Caenorhabditis elegans: one gene and its partners. The protein of the gene in region 3 purifies or fractionates together with the protein of the main gene of each other region. This does not show direct contact. Each region holds a gene or a part of one and is shown on either strand. Other genes may lie near its edges.

Region 1 (5,665 bases), 4.7 Mb from region 3:
TGAATGTGACAAATTTCTAGTCCGCAATTACAATTTGAACAGTTAGTGAACCTTGGTCAAAACTGGTGCAAGATTTGATAGCTGCGTCTAAGTTTGGTTCAAGTTTGATAAAATTTTTGCTAATCTCGAAATAAATAAGCTTGGCACGTAAAGTTGGGTGAGAGAAAGTTATAGACAAACAACCGGCTCCTAAATTAGATTTTTGGAATTAATAGATTGCATGAATATTTTTGGTACCTTTTTTGTTCAATTTTTTTCACAGGAATTAAACATTAAATGCATACATTGTTAAAAATATATAGATATGCGCATCACTAGTTTTCAAAATTGATTTTTTTTGTTCCAGGCCCTAAAAAATCAACTTCAACTGACATCACTCTTCTTAATAATTGAAAAAACGCCCGCGCATCATGGTTTATTTTAAACTTAAAGACAAATGAGTATTAGCAAAAGTGGCTTAAAAATGTTTGAAGGTTGTTTGAAACAAGATATAAATCTATTAATCGATGCAAGTTTCTTTAAGGGCAGAGCTAAATGAACAGTTCCGTTTTTTTCGCAGATAGCTTTCTCGGTAGATACAAATATGATTGTACATCTTCAAAGCGTCCCATAACTTAAACGTAATGGTAAATTATTTTTAATTTAAATGTGAAACAGTGAATAATTTTCCTAAATATGTTCATTTACAAAAATTAAAAATGACCGAATATCATAATGAAACAGTTTAGATTTTTTAAAAATTTCAATCAAAGTTTTTTTTGGTTGGTTTCTTTCGAGGCTATAGCAATTTTGGAGCTTTTTCAATGTTCAAACCAGAGATGTGCGGCAAAAAATATTTGTCCGCATAGTTCGGGAGATGCATTTTGCCAAAAACCCAGCAGTTGTCTTTTTTCAGCAACTTATGGATTTCCTTTTTTGGATATACAAATTTTCACTTTTTAAAAATAATAAATTAAACTCATTTTGTGAGTGTTTGTATAAATAGTTTTCGACAAATTGTAATTTTCGGGTGAAAAATCTGAACAAAATTGAGTTAAATTTTTAAAAACTCTTAAATTTCTAGAAAGTAATGTAGTCAAAATTTAAAACCTTTACTCTAGATTGAAAACGAACAGATGTTTTTCTGCAATCAAATTAATTAATTTGCAACATTTAAACCTCTTGACGTACTGAAATTGTTCTTTTTTGTTTATTTCCTTGTTCTCTTACAATTGGCAAATCTTTTGTTTGAAAGCAGTAACACATCATACTTTTCCAGACTAATCTCTTCAATAATTTCTATGAGTTTAAAATGAATTAAGACAAAGGTGCAAGAAAGATATGACATCATTTGACCTACATGCTTCATTTTAATTTGTATACCGCTTCAAAATGATATCATTTCAGAAGATGATGCGATTTGAAACAAAATTTGAGAAGCCGTAGTGTATGTAGTAGTTTTAATTAAATCAAATCATCTTAGTATAAACTGCTTCCGGTTTCCGGAATCTAAATTCAAATCAAAATTTTTTTGACTTGACATTTTTAGAAAAATGGCAAGAAACTGATCTAGAGACAACCAGACATCAGTGATCAGCTCCGATTCTTGGTTTACTTGGACTGAACAAAATACGTAAAACAAAGAAATTAACGAACGAATCTTTATTGTGCTTTAAAAGCATTAGTTGCAAGGAAAAGAACACTTGGAGGGTAGCTCAGGCTACTGTAACCATGATTTTATATTTTTGTTTTTTAGGTTTTCTGGGGAACTTTCAAATCTCCACAGGAAGATCCAAATCTGGGTGTTATTCGTTTATTCAGTGTCTTCAAAGATTTTTATCGTTTTGCAAATAACCTTCATATCCAAATTTATGCAACAATTTTGGGACTGGCGGATTTATTTCTAAACAATTATGGGAAATTCAATATAATAAAAATGTTCGAGCCTTATATATATTAAAAGTGCGGAAAGTTTGTATAAAAGTGGTGCCGAATTGCCGAGAAGGTTTTGAAACTCTCTAGCGTTTAAATTTCGACTGAAACTTAAAAATGGATTATCGTGTATTTTGGCAGTAGGCACGGGGCAGGCATATATCGCCTTGCACGCGGACAGACAGTCTCATGAAAAAGTTATCTTTCAGTTCTTTTTACCAACCTTAAATTTACTATATATTATTTTAGAAAATATCCTTTTACGCGCAATTTTTTGAATAGAAAGCTTCCTATGACATTTAGCAGAGTTTAAGAAAAATTTAATTTCTACATTTCAAAAATTAGAGAATTTTGTATTGTCCAGGTATTATTTTTTGTTTTGAAGCACTATTTCAAAATGAGTATCATTTCAAGTCATATAAGAAATGAGTTTAATTTTGATCAGCTTATCATTGAAACCGGAACTCTTGCAAAAAGAAAACTTAGATTCATAAATAGTCGCATCACTTATTTTTTTAATGTTTACTTTTCATTTCAAGTTTTTTATAAAGTTCACTTTCTAAACACTCCATGAACCATGTATACTATAATAGTTGTTTGACTCCGGAAACTGTGCTCTTTCATTAATTTGTGGGCGTGGTCATGCTCTTCATTGCGTTCGAAATTTCAATCTTCCTACTGTACTTGTGGGCGTGACCCCGGACTTATAAAAGAAAATTCCAATTGATACATCAATCACAAATTTAATTCATCGTTTTCAGCCATGAAACTACTTCTTCTGGCTCTGTTTCTGAGCATATCCGCAAGTTGCCTTGCAGAAGATATAACAAAAATTTCTGAAAGTCGAATTCCGAATGAGGATGCTGTACCTGATTGTTAGTTTTTTTTTTCTCAAGGTCTTTTTAATTCAATAAACATAAAATATTTTTAGATGAAGCAAAATGGAGGCTCGGAGCAATTCAAAAATTATGGAATGAACGACGAAAGATGGGACACACACCAATGACAAAATTCAGTCCCCCTGGTTTCCCGAACGCCGACATTTTCTTCAAAAATGAAACTGCCACAGCTACGAGAACGTTGAAGCACAGATTTGCATGGGCTCTTCTTCTTTGGGCTATTACAGAAGGTTAGTATGTTATTTAATTGGTGAAGTACAGTGTATCTGCGAAAACTTATATTCTGCAGGTTTTTTACTGCTAAGCTATGAGTATGAGAGCTATGAGTAAGCTAGTCCAGAAACGTTAAATAAATAACATTTCTCAAAAAAAATTTCTGCAAATTTTAAAATTTCCAGGAAAAGTGACTTCAAAAACATCCGCTGTCTACGACTCAACATCTGGTAATACTGGGTCTGCTGAAGCCTACATGTGTACTTTAGTCAATGTCCCATACTATGCTGTCGTTGCTGATAATTTGGAAAAGGAGAAAGTCAAGCAAATTGAGAGTTTCGGAGGAAAAATTATCAAGGTACTTCTTCTACTTACACAGAGTCACATACAGTATTTTTGGTTTAATTTTCATTTAATATTGACCAATTTTTTGAGTTAGCCAAAGTTTTTCCAGTTTTTAAGAACTCTAACCCCAAAACTTTCTCATTCAACTCAACGCCAATTTCTTATAAAATTTCTTTATAGAGAAACAACTTTTATTGTGTGAAATTTCGCGTTAAAATTTTTAAAGATGAGGGAAGCGTTGTTAAGAAAGTTGGAAAATGTCGAGAAAGAAGCAGAAAAATAAAAAAAATTATTGTAAGTTTTGCTTTGTTTCAGGTTCCTGTGGCTCTTCGCAATGCAAAAGCTAAGGAATTCGCCGACAAAAACCACGGATTCTACATGAATCAATTTGGAAACGCTGAAAAAGCTGAAGAATTCCATGAAAGTGGAGACTTTTATTTTGAGTCCACAAATGTCTATCATGAAATTATTGTTCAACTCAAAAAGGACAAAGAGCAAATTGTCAAAATCCCTGACTACTTTGTTCATTCAGCAGGAACCGGTGGAACTATTTCGTCAGTTGGCAGATATGTCGCTAGATATGGAGCACCTACAAAAGTCGTACTCTCCGATTCTCAATACTCTTTATTCTACGATTATGTAATTGGACATAAATTCACAAATCAATCTGGTGCAGGTATTTGGACACCTCCAGGGATTGCTGGAATTGGTTACGGATATGATATTGAACCAGTGTGGTACGGAGAAACAACAAGTTTAACAAGAAATGTAATCCATGAAGCCATGAAAATGCCTGATATTGCATCAGTAGCTACAATGAGAATTCTCGATGAAAAAGGTTATAATGTGGGACCGTCAACATCACTCAACTTCCTTGTTTCTCTTTACAAAGCCTATCAGAACAAGTAAGTAATTCAAACTGACATCATTGCAAACTAATCCGTCTAGAGTATTTATTCGTTGTCTTTTGACGACTTAAGCGTTTACTAGTACATTTAAATTTTTGCGTTAAAAAATATGTTTTAATAGTTTAGTTTACGCAAGCGTATCAATATACCTTGCGTATACCTTGGCTATCAAATCTTGATGAACACAATTTTCAGAGCCAGAAAATCTGCTATCAAGCATCGTCTTACGATTGTTACACTGGCTTGTGACCCAGGAGATTTCTACCGTAGTACGTACCTTAACAACGAATGGGTCGAGAAAAGTTTCAAGAAGTTTGGAGGTGTTATGGGAATGGAATGTTGGAAAAAGCTGATTCAAGAATCAATTGATACGGGTTCTGATTTCTATTCGAAAGGTCTCACTATGTGTCCAGGAGCTTTTAAAGTTTAACTGTTTTGCATTTCTGTGTTTTTGTGTCTCTCCGTATTGTACAGGTTCGTAATTGATCAATTTTAAATTAGATTGTTTTTTTCGAAAATAGAACTCATAGTTCCAGTGATTAAGTCTATTCCCGTGCATGAGTTTTGTGCTTGCTTTGATCTGTATTCAAGTTTAATTGAATAAACTATTTATTATTTAATTATCTGAAAACGCAAAAGTTATAATATTTGCACATAAGGCAAATATGAAAATATACACAACAAAAATTGACCAGTCGACGCCGCGAACAACAGGTTGATCAAGAAAACCATATTGAAAATCAATTGAATCTTTTTTGCGACCATCCGGTGTGTAGATGATTCCTGAAAACAGAAATTGTGATTTTTCAAAGTTCTAAAAACTGACCTGTCAATGATCTTTTCGAACAAATGAACATTTTCTTGCAAACTTCACAATATGTTGGACATTGCACAATATGTGTTGAATTATTGTCAAGAAAAGCCAACCCATCGTAAAGAGGACAGCTGACAACTTTATTTCCGATCGAAAATTGAAATATTTCAGTTTTGTTGCAAACTTCGTTCTGAAATGCGGACTTTACTTACATGGCGAAAATTTTAACTCACTTGAATACGGTACATTCTAGTTGTCTTGGAAACAAATTTAGGAATATCTCCCGTTCTCATTAAGGAAGTCAATATGTTAACTTCATTCGGATCTTTCTCGAATAGTTTGATTGCTATCTGAGTGCAAATTACATTAGTATGCAAAAATGTTTTACAATAGATAATTTGCAATGAAAAATGCTGCCGACAATTGTAATTGTTTTTTGAAGTTTTAGCAATGAAAACGCCCGCCCGCCTTGTGTCCAGTTTCAATCACCTTACAAAACTTACTTTTAGCGATTCCACATATTCTATTTGAAAACTAAAACAACACAACACGAAAAGATAGTTTTTAATATACAT
Region 2 (3,840 bases), on a different chromosome or scaffold from region 3:
AGGGTCAGATGTGTGGTGATAATTGTGTTATGTTTACTTTGTGAAAAGACAAGAAGAACATGAGAAGGTGGGAGAACACGGGAATTGAATAAAATTTATAATCCAGCTACAGATGAATTCAAAATTTTGTTTTGACAATTTAGCAAACTTATTCAAATCGGTAGAACTCAAAAACAGAAGGTTTTAGCGAAATGTGCTTGAATAAAAAAGTCGTGTTCATAATGTTGTTGACAAATTTTTTTATGAATATTCCACGACAGTTTTCAACGACAAACATTGGAAAACTCAAACAGTTTTACACAGTTATTCATTTTAAAACTGATCTCAGAGCACCCGAGCAAATTTGGAAACATTTTCTCAACAGGAACCTGAAACATGAAATTTTTCTCCAAAGATAACTTTAATAGATGTTGGGTATAGGAATTTTTTTCTTGATTTATTCAAAGATTAAAGCTATAAGTTTTGAACAAAATATTCCCGGCAGAGAACACATACATATATAGAACACCTGAAAATGTGAATGGCGCTGTTGAACCATTTCAGTGTAGCCATCAATAGGGACCGTGTAGTCATGTAGTGAGACTTTCACCCTTTGTAGTCTTACAGCTGAAAACATCTGTCACCCTCTGATTATCGAATACCGATTATTGAAAAAATAATGCTTTCAATTTTTTACAAACAATAACTTCTGCTCACTCACATGAAAATATCGTTTGTTTTATCATAGCTTCGCTTTAAAAGTTTTTTTCATTAATTGTAAGTTTATTTAATCAGATTCATTAAAGTTTTATTATCAAATACTAATAAAATCGTTTTTATTTCTTTCTAGCATTTGATAGACTTGACTTGAGATTGCAATGTCTGTGGAACCTGGAAGTTAACAATTTATTTAGCAAACAGCATTTTCAACTCACATTTTTCCATTCAAGAACGTTTTCAAATGACGTTTGAGATCTGTCATCTGGCAGTACTTGACCGCAAAGAACAGTATACAAAGCATTTGGTCCTTCAACACGACCAGCAAGTAGATATTCATGACCGGCGGCAATCTTGAGCCCGCAAGCTGGAGCTTCTGATGGAGTGAAAATTTCATCTGGCAGAGTTGTCATGTTGGATGGTTTCTGAAATTAAAAAAACTTTGACATAGAAACATTTTTCTGTAAGTTTGAAATGCATGTTACTTTCAGTTGTATAGAACGCTGATATAAGCTTATCAGTAAGTTTTTAGCACCTGCGGGGTAAAATAAATCAAACTCGCTTACCTTAAAAACCTCGACATGTTGCACAGTGTATCTCAAATTATTCAATCCCTTTCTCTCGGATCCTTCTGGAAGTCCTTGTTTTCCTACACGGACCTTCACTTTGACATGAGAAACCCAGTGAGCATTGCAGAATGATTCCTTGGTTGATTGCTCTCTACACTTGCAAGCAAGAGTTACAGCAATGAGAACTGATAGAATGACTAGAGATAAAGATAAATTTTGCATCTGAAAATGGAATTAGTATAAATTCGAGGTGAAAAAAAATTGTGAAAATGAAAAAAATGAAACATGAAGAAAGCAGGAAAATTTTGGTAATAATATATTTTTTTACACAAAAATTGTTTTTGATGGCAAAATAACATTAACTTGCTCAAATAATTCATTTTTCTAGCCAAATAATTCATATCATAAACTTTAAAAATACAAGAATCTATAAATTTGGGCTCAAGTTTTTGTTTTTGAAACAAACAAAAAAAAAAGAAAATAGTTATTTTGTTGATAGTTCAACCCAAGACTGATCGTGAGATGACATTGGTTGAGCGAATTGAATCGGTCAAGAGTAGATATAGTACAGAGATCCGAGAGATATGAGACGATGAGAGACAGGAAGTGTAACAATAACATTAGTGTGACAAAAAAAAATGAAAGATGGTGAATAAGTGATGAATCATTATTATGACGTCTTGAAATATGATAAAGATAACTGAAAAGAGATTTTGATAGAAATTCCAAACTCACTATTTTACAGACATTTTTCTGGAAATAATAGTTTTGGAAACTGGAGTCTGAATACTTAATTTGCATGTACATAAGAAATAAGTTTTGATTGAATTAATATGTAGAAAAAAAAAGTTTGCGAAGGCACGGAAACTCCTTGGCCTGCATAAATTTCTGTTATAGCATCCCAGGCAAATTTAATGTTCACCTATTATAACCCAAGACTATTGTAGCTTCATCATGGCATCGAGACTAATAACAACTTCTTCACAATGCTGCAAAACATAAACCAAAGTTTGTGATTCACTATTGGACTTTTGGAATATTTGACTTTATAAAATAAAAAACGAGACACAAAAATATTGTTTCACAAACCATTCATCAAACTTCAAAAAAAAAAGTTTCAATCCGTAGAGACTCACTCAAACATTCACTTTCAATGACAATAGCCAACTGCCGTGCTAATAATTGAACAAACTGACAGTATACTTCATTTCACGCTTGTTTCAAGCGAATGTTCAGCTTGGCTTATAGCAGTTTTTTCAGAGACCCGAGCTTTTATAAAATTCCGGTGGACTCATAAAATATGGTCACAAAACCAAAAAACGAAAAGCATCATTCATCCATACCAAATGATTTATGTGGTAATCAAAGCTTAAAATGAAATTCTTATGATTTCTGATTCTTTGATTCTAAAGCTTGAAAAATGTGATTCTAAAGCTTGAAAACAAGCTTGAAATATAATTTTGTTTGCCATGAGATTTTTGGATAAAAGACGATTTTTTTGCAATTATCGTTCACAAAATTGTTCTTTACAACTATCCCGAATGAAACTACTGAAAATTAAACATTATATGATTATTGTGGAATATTATTTTGAACTAAATTATCAGCTTTGATTATTTGAAATTGAAATTCCGGCAAGGAAGTAATCGTACTTTTATAAAAATTTTCATAGCCCATAAGTTCACATTTTCCCGTCCAAAAACAATTGTCTCTATAAATATGTTCATTGAACCTCTTTTTCCTAAATTTCCGCATTTTCCCACTATTTCTCTCAATTCTCCCAATTATGTTGTTGTTTGTGAGTGTCACCATAGGCCGTTCTACGGAGAGTTTTGTTTGTATGTCTCGGTTCTCTTCATCTCTCGGTTTTCAAGAAAAGGGATTTTCCATTTTAACGTTTTTGCACTTTTTTTTAAAGCTAGTGATACCGATTTTTAAAAAAAACAATTAAGACGTATCATTTTCAAACTTAAAGGTTAAACTTTCAAACGACAAATTTTGATTTTTGAGCGTTTCGTTCCAATATGAAGGATCATGTTTCCTTCAACTGATCGTTTCGACGTTTTTTCTTCTCCAGTTTTTCTTGTTTACTTCGTTTAACCTTGATGATCTTCTAGTGGTTTATTGTCGAGATTTTCATTCAAAATTTACTAATTTCAATAAGATTTAAATCTAAAGTTTAGAGTCTTTGATGTATAAATTGGACATACTGAAAATTAAACGTTTTGGAAAATTTTCCGTAAGTACAGAAACATAGTTTCAAATAAAAAATTCGAAAACATTTCTAACCATTACGATTAATCAGAAAAAAAAAATAATTCAGAAAATAACGCTTCGTTTACAAAAACCTTCCACGCAAACAAATATTGTTTACCAAAAACTGATAACGTGGATGTTTTGAAATATGTTGTTGTTTTCCCACATCTTCGTTGATTTTTCTCTTTGAAGCTCTGGTATTTCAAGACTTAAAAGCATTTTTTGGCTTTCACCTTGACTTTCTTTTACCCTAGTTTAATAAGTATACAAGGTGTGAACTAAAAATTGTAACGATCACAAAGTTTCTTTTTCTCTGTGG
Region 3 (6,155 bases):
TGTCGATTTTGTGAATGTGTACTCTATGAATTACGCGGCACCATGGAGTAATCAATGGGGTACACCCACAGGACCATCTGCTCCGTTGTACGGAGGGCTTGATGCTAGGAGGAAATTTAGTGTCGATTATACTATGAAGTACTACATCAGATACACTCGAAAACCTGAAAAGTTCAATTTGATAATTCCATTTTATGTGAGACATTGGAGAAATGTGGAAAACGCGATTAAACCTGGAATCGAGGTTTTTAGAAATGTAACACTTCAAAATAATGGAGCGATCGGAGAAGTTTATATGTCTAGATGGACTGCAGAAAGTGATGGAATTGAATTATCAAACCCTTCATGGGATGATACAACTAAAACTTTATACATTTGGAAACCAGAAACAAAAACTTTTATCACTTTTGAAACTGAGAAAAGTATTGAAGCAAAAGCCAATTATGTTAAATCTATGAATCTTGGAGGAGTATGGATTTGGTTGATGGAGAATGATGATCAGGATAATAGTATGATTGAAGCAGTTTCCGGTCAATTCGGAAATCCCAGTGATGATCAGTCACAGTACGGTGTTATTGAATCAGTCGGATCTCATTCTAGAAATTTAAATAATAGAATAATTCAAAATAATCAATAAATTATTTATGATGTCTGTAATAATTTGATTGTATTGCCAGCATAATTTGTGTAAAGTGTCAATGATGGAATGTTCAAAATGTTTGTTAAGTTCAATGACTACAATAAAGTGTTATTTTTTGAAAAGTTTTTAATTGAAGTGCTCCTCTCCCCCTGCAACACAAAACTTTAAAAACCGTAGTATTTAGAATTATTCAATTTTTGAAATAATTGTTGAAAAATGTATGTTGAAATGACAGTAATTAAGTTTGTTCCATTCAAAACTTTAGTTGTAAATAGTAACTTGTGGTAACTTTGAACGATGATAAAATTGCATTTAGTTTTGTGCTGCCAGTACTTTTACTTTGAAAACAGTTGCATAGTGTGAAACGCAACGTCTACGGTTTAAACAACTCCTCTTTCTTTATTAATTTTTCATTTCAAAAACTCATCTCGAAATGATGATAGTAGATAAACAAAACGACTTGCTCATTCTATTTTCTCATTGGTTACTATTTTTACTTCGAAACGAACTTGCAAAAAAAAAAAAAATTTTTTTAAATAACTTCTCTAGCGATATTTATGATTCTGTGCCATTTTAGAATATATGTTTAATTTTTCCACAACTTAAACTAAGGAATACCTTATAGGTTTTTGCAATATTAAGACAGTCATCGTACAAACTCTTTTTCAAACAAAAATACATTTATAAAAATTAAAATTTAATAATAAATGTTTTTCGAGAACATGTGTCGGACAAGCGGATCATTGGATTCTACACTGAAGATGCTACAACTGAAATTACAGCTTCAGAACTATCCAAACTAACTCATGCAGTTTTCGGATTTCTTTACTTGAAGACGAATGGAACATTTGACATTTTAAATGATCGTGGAAAAGGAAGATTCAAGAATTTAAATCGATTAATAAAATATGAAAATCTGAATGTTAAAATGATGTTTTCAATTGGTGGATGGGCTGACTCGACAAATTTCCGATCGGTTGTAGCGGACGTCAAAATTAAAAGGTTTGAAATTTTAAATTATTTCTGAATTTCGGAGAATTGAAACGAAATAATTGCTTGTTACTATACTTTCGATTTGAAACATTAAAAAAAAAGCAAAGAATTCAGAAAACAACATTTTTTAAATGAAAAATAACTCGAAAAAAGATTTTGGCTGCACATCAATAACATTGATTTCAATGAAAAATGCAAAACGAAATTGTTAGTTTCAAAGACAATACGATGAATTATTTAAACAAAGTTCTAATGATAAAAAAGATGTTCTAATCGAAATAATCGTTCAATGATTTCTCTTATCTCTCAAATAATGCACCCGTATTTCGTAGGCGAAAAGGTCAGACCACTTGATAGACAATCTTATTTCTCCATTACACCATTCAATTTTCCATTTTTTCGTACTTCAAAACTCTGAAATTCTAGGAATACAATGCTTCCTCCAACAATTACAAAATCTCAGCTTTTATCAAATTTTGATACATTCGTTTTCGATGCCGATGGTGTTCTTTGGACTGGAGATATTCCGATTCCTGGAGCTGCTGAATGGATTAATACATTACTTGATGATCCGGAAAAGAGTGTTTTTATTACAACGAATAATTCGACAAAGACTTTGGAACAATATATGCAAGTTTTTATTGTAATTAAAGAACATTTCTCACAATTCAAAAAAAGATATCAAAAATTTGATGAATACATTTTAAAAGTAGGGCAGTTGAAACCGGTTTTTTAATGTGGAGATGGAATAGTTTTTCCCGGTTTTTTTTAAAATGAAGTACATATATGATTTTTTAATAAAATTCCAAGAGAAATTTGAAAAAAAGAACCGATTTATTTACCACAAATTTTGTGTCGAAAACTTAAATTCCAAATAAAATTCTTTAAATTTTTGAAAACGGTTATGTTCTGTCACTTCGGACCGTTTTTTGAATATTGAAAAAAATCCCGCTGTTTTTTTTTCTCCAGCGTACATATAATTGAAAATAACGGTTTGAAACTTTTTATGGGAACAGTTTTTATATTTATTTCTCTTTCAGGAAAAAAGTCAAAAAAATGCGATTTGGTCGACTTGGAAGAGAGAACTTACTTAGTCCAACCATCGTTCTATGTGATTATTTCAAACAAAATTCTGATAAATTTGAAAATCAATACATTTATCTCATTGGAGTGGAGAATTTAAAAAAAAGTTTGGAAGAAGGAGGCGGAGTTAAATGCTTTGGAACTGGACCCGATCATAAGGATAATTATACAGATGGAGATTTTATTAATGAAGTTGATGTTAAATCGAAAATTCCAAAAGCAGTTGTTGTGAGCTTCGATTCACATTTCAGGTGGGTTACTGTTTCAAGATTTGTATCTAGTAAAGTTGAGATTATGTTAAATCAGTGCGTCGTTGAACTTCAAACAAGTATTTACTAGTTTTTTTATTAGAACGACTGTTTTTTTTAATATTTCACCAAATACAAAGAGAAAAATCACAGGGTATTCAACGGTAAAATATAAAGTTTACGATAAAGTTATCCTATTAACCATACAATAGACCGGGGCATCAAGTGGGGGGGGGGGATAATTAATTGTTGATCTATATCACCTCCGGCGCGGCTCCCGACTTCTGGGGCTCAAAACTAATTTTTTTCTGAAACTACCGTAACCCTACAGTATTCCTACCGTACCACTATTGTACCACTACAGTACCCCGACTATATCCCTACACTAACCCCAACTCACTATCAATCCATAAGCTAAAACTTCACAGACTACAAGGACTACAAACTATGGACAAACGGAATAAGCGCTTTATATATAGTAAATGATTGTAATACAAACTGAGAGCATAATTTAAAAAATCTGGTTAACATGTTTCAATACATGCATAATATGATAACCATGAATTCTTAATCCAATCACATCAAGAATTGAACACCTAACATTTTTCCGTTTCTCTGAAACAGCTCATTTGAGTTTATACAAATTTTTTTGAGACGGCTTGAAAACTAAAAAAAACTACACAATGTATATATAATTTCAAAAAAATTGAAATATATTATTTTATCAATTATCTAAATTGTTCGTATTACAGCTATCCTAAACTGATGAAAGCCGCCAATTTTCTTGCGGATCCATTAGTCGAGTTCCTCGTTTGCAATGAAGATTCAACATTCCCGGGACCTGTACCAGGAATGATTCTTCCTGAAACTGGACCCTGGTCGGCTGCTATTCAAAATGTTTCTGGTCGAAAACCGGATATTGTATTCGGAAAACCACACGAACAATTGGCAAACTTTTTGAAATCGAGAGTTCAGGCAGGAAAATTCAATTCCGAGCGCACTGTCATGTTTGGAGATCGATTGGATACGGATATGATGTTCGGGAAAAATAATGGGTTAGTAATTTTTATTTTTTTATGAGTTTTATTCCACGTTGTGACTGATAAACTTTGAAAGTAGTAGTAAAAAACATCACAATGTCAAAACTCGAAGTCAATCTACTTTTCAAGTGATTCAGAAACCGCTAAAAATTTAATTTTTAATTTTTTTAAGTTTGGTTTTTTTTTTAAGAAATGGTTTTGAACAGCTTAGTTTCTTATAATTATTGTAGCTTTTATTGGTCTTGCATTTTTACTGACTAATCAAAAATTGCATGCAAGATCAATAGAAGTAACCAGAAGTATTCAATTTTTAATAACAGTTAACACCAAAACTATCTAAAAATTTTCTTTCCAGGTTCACAACTGTTTGGATGCAAACCGGAGTCAACACTCTATTGGACATTGAACTCGCTCGTAAAAACGGGGAATCCACGAAAATTCCAGATTTTACATGTAGATTTTCAGAATTCTAGATTTTTACAATAACATAACTAGGTAAAAGGATGTTTTTATATCTCTCCTGAGCCAAACAGCATATTAGCATTTAGGAGTGTGCTCACCAGATAAATTTATTCCGTGAAACTGCAAATGTTTTTCAAAACCTCGAGTTTTGAAGTAATCTTCCTGTTATATTTTTTCTTGAAATACGCGGCATTTATCCTCATTGATTTTTTTAAAGTTTTATGTCTAACTGTGCCATCTACAAAAGAATGTAAAACCGTACGTGTTTAATTTTGTAGTCAATAAAAATGGGATTTCACTGCTTTTCTAGAAATACACAGTCTAAAATAAATAACTACTCTCAATCATCATACAATCATTAATTAGGATTTCAAAACAGGTAAAAGGTGAACATTCCGGAGTGTACACACCAGATAAATTTATTCTGTGAAACAGATTTTTTTTGGAAATTTGAAGTTCAAAATTATCTTGTTCTTCATAATTTGAAAACTGGTTGTTTTTTATTACGCGGTATTTTTCATTCATTGTAGAAGTTTTAGTGTTTCAGTTGCAATAGTTGCCGAACTTTTAATCCACGAAGAAATTTATTTCTCAGGTCAAAAATAAAACAATTTTGAGAGTAAAAAACCAATAAAGCCATCAAGGTGTACATACAAATTAATAAATAAGAAATTTCCATCTAAAACAAGGTTGGACTGGAAATGAAATTCAGAATCACAGATGAGAAAATGAGTGTAGAGTGAGTGAGTGAGAGACGGAGAGAAATGAGACATAGAACAAGATGAATGATTGAAATGAAAAGAGGTGTGTACATTCAATAAAAGAACATTTAACCCGCAAAGCACACGATTTCAAGAAAAACGAGAAGAGAAACATGAAGAAAGAGAAATAGAGAAAGAGAGAGTTTTAGTAGGCAAATAACACAGTATATGGATTTGGCATCTAGAGAGTGGTTTGGGCAGTACAAATTTCCATTGGGACACCGCTGAGTTGATGGAGATCAGCTGCAGTGAGTTGGGTGATCAATGTAGATTCGACTTGTCCAATGTGCTGAAAAATATTTTTATTGGATTTTCTAGGTGTTAATTTTCTTACCGAGAAGCTTGGCAACATGAGTGAGATCTTCAAAGCACGAGTCATTCGTTGACTGGTCGTGTGATATGGGTACCGCTTTTCAATGTGGGCTGAAAGAGCGTCAAGAAGGCGATCACGCATTCGCGAGCAGATTCCTTGACCGGCTTCCGAAAGGATGCAATCTTAAAAAATTAAACATTGAGTAAAATAGAAAAGAACTGCAAATCTTTACCTTGCTGGAATAGAGAAATAGTCTTGATGAGGCAATACTCTTCCTCAGTGATTTGCAACTCAATCATAGCCTTTACAATCAAATCGATCAACTTGCGGCACACAACTCCATACGTTTGAGCCCATCGTTCTGGGAGCTTCTTTTGATCTTCGTCGTTGTACGGGATGTAGGCACCGTTTCCGAGTGGCATTCCAGTCAAATGTTGCTTCAACTCAAAGCACTTATAGGCAAATGTGATCCATCCGAAAGCCATAAAGTTTTGCTTGAAAAGTGTCGTCTGATCGGCGAGTGGGAGGACACGGAACTCCGGGATTCCCATTGCCCAGTCGGCAGCAAACACGAATGAACGGTACCAGGAGAGGTAGAGATCGGCTGCCTCCATG

Evidence for each region. Proteins that work in one complex are often made in the same cells at the same time.
Region 1: the proteins of C45E5.1 (region 3) and F13B12.4 fractionate together in Caenorhabditis elegans (co-fractionation; one large-scale study listed by BioGRID). This does not show direct contact.
Region 2: the proteins of C45E5.1 (region 3) and cri-2 fractionate together in Caenorhabditis elegans (co-fractionation; one large-scale study listed by BioGRID). This does not show direct contact.

What each region holds. Positions count from the first base shown.
Region 1 is NC_003282.8:10,443,812-10,449,476, reverse strand, and holds F13B12.4 (Putative pyridoxal-phosphate dependent protein F13B12.4), read left to right. Parts: upstream 1-2,672; 5' UTR 2,673-2,674; coding exon 2,675-2,786; intron 2,787-2,842; coding exon 2,843-3,040; intron 3,041-3,208; coding exon 3,209-3,381; intron 3,382-3,683; coding exon 3,684-4,273; intron 4,274-4,471; coding exon 4,472-4,706; 3' UTR 4,707-4,892; downstream 4,893-5,665. Other genes in the region: F13B12.7 (Neprosin domain-containing protein), read right to left, coding at 4,893-5,059, 5,103-5,280, 5,324-5,383.
Region 2 is NC_003283.11:8,199,455-8,203,294, reverse strand, and holds cri-2 (Putative metalloproteinase inhibitor tag-225), read right to left. Parts: upstream 1,488-3,840; coding exon 1,263-1,487; intron 1,122-1,262; coding exon 915-1,121; intron 871-914; coding exon 826-870; 3' UTR 772-825; downstream 1-771.
Region 3 is NC_003282.8:5,742,344-5,748,498, forward strand, and holds C45E5.1 (Glycerol-3-phosphate phosphatase), read left to right. Parts: upstream 1-2,059; 5' UTR 2,060-2,066; coding exon 2,067-2,263; intron 2,264-2,293; exon of another isoform or gene 2,294-2,314; intron 2,315-2,673; coding exon 2,674-2,967; intron 2,968-3,022; exon of another isoform or gene 3,023-3,043; intron 3,044-3,540; exon of another isoform or gene 3,541-3,561; intron 3,562-3,716; coding exon 3,717-4,019; intron 4,020-4,079; exon of another isoform or gene 4,080-4,100; intron 4,101-4,359; coding exon 4,360-4,477; 3' UTR 4,478-4,767; downstream 4,768-6,155. Other genes in the region: chil-11 (GH18 domain-containing protein), read left to right, coding at 1-637; nhr-46 (Nuclear Hormone Receptor family), read right to left, coding at 5,409-5,516, 5,562-5,722, 5,773-6,155.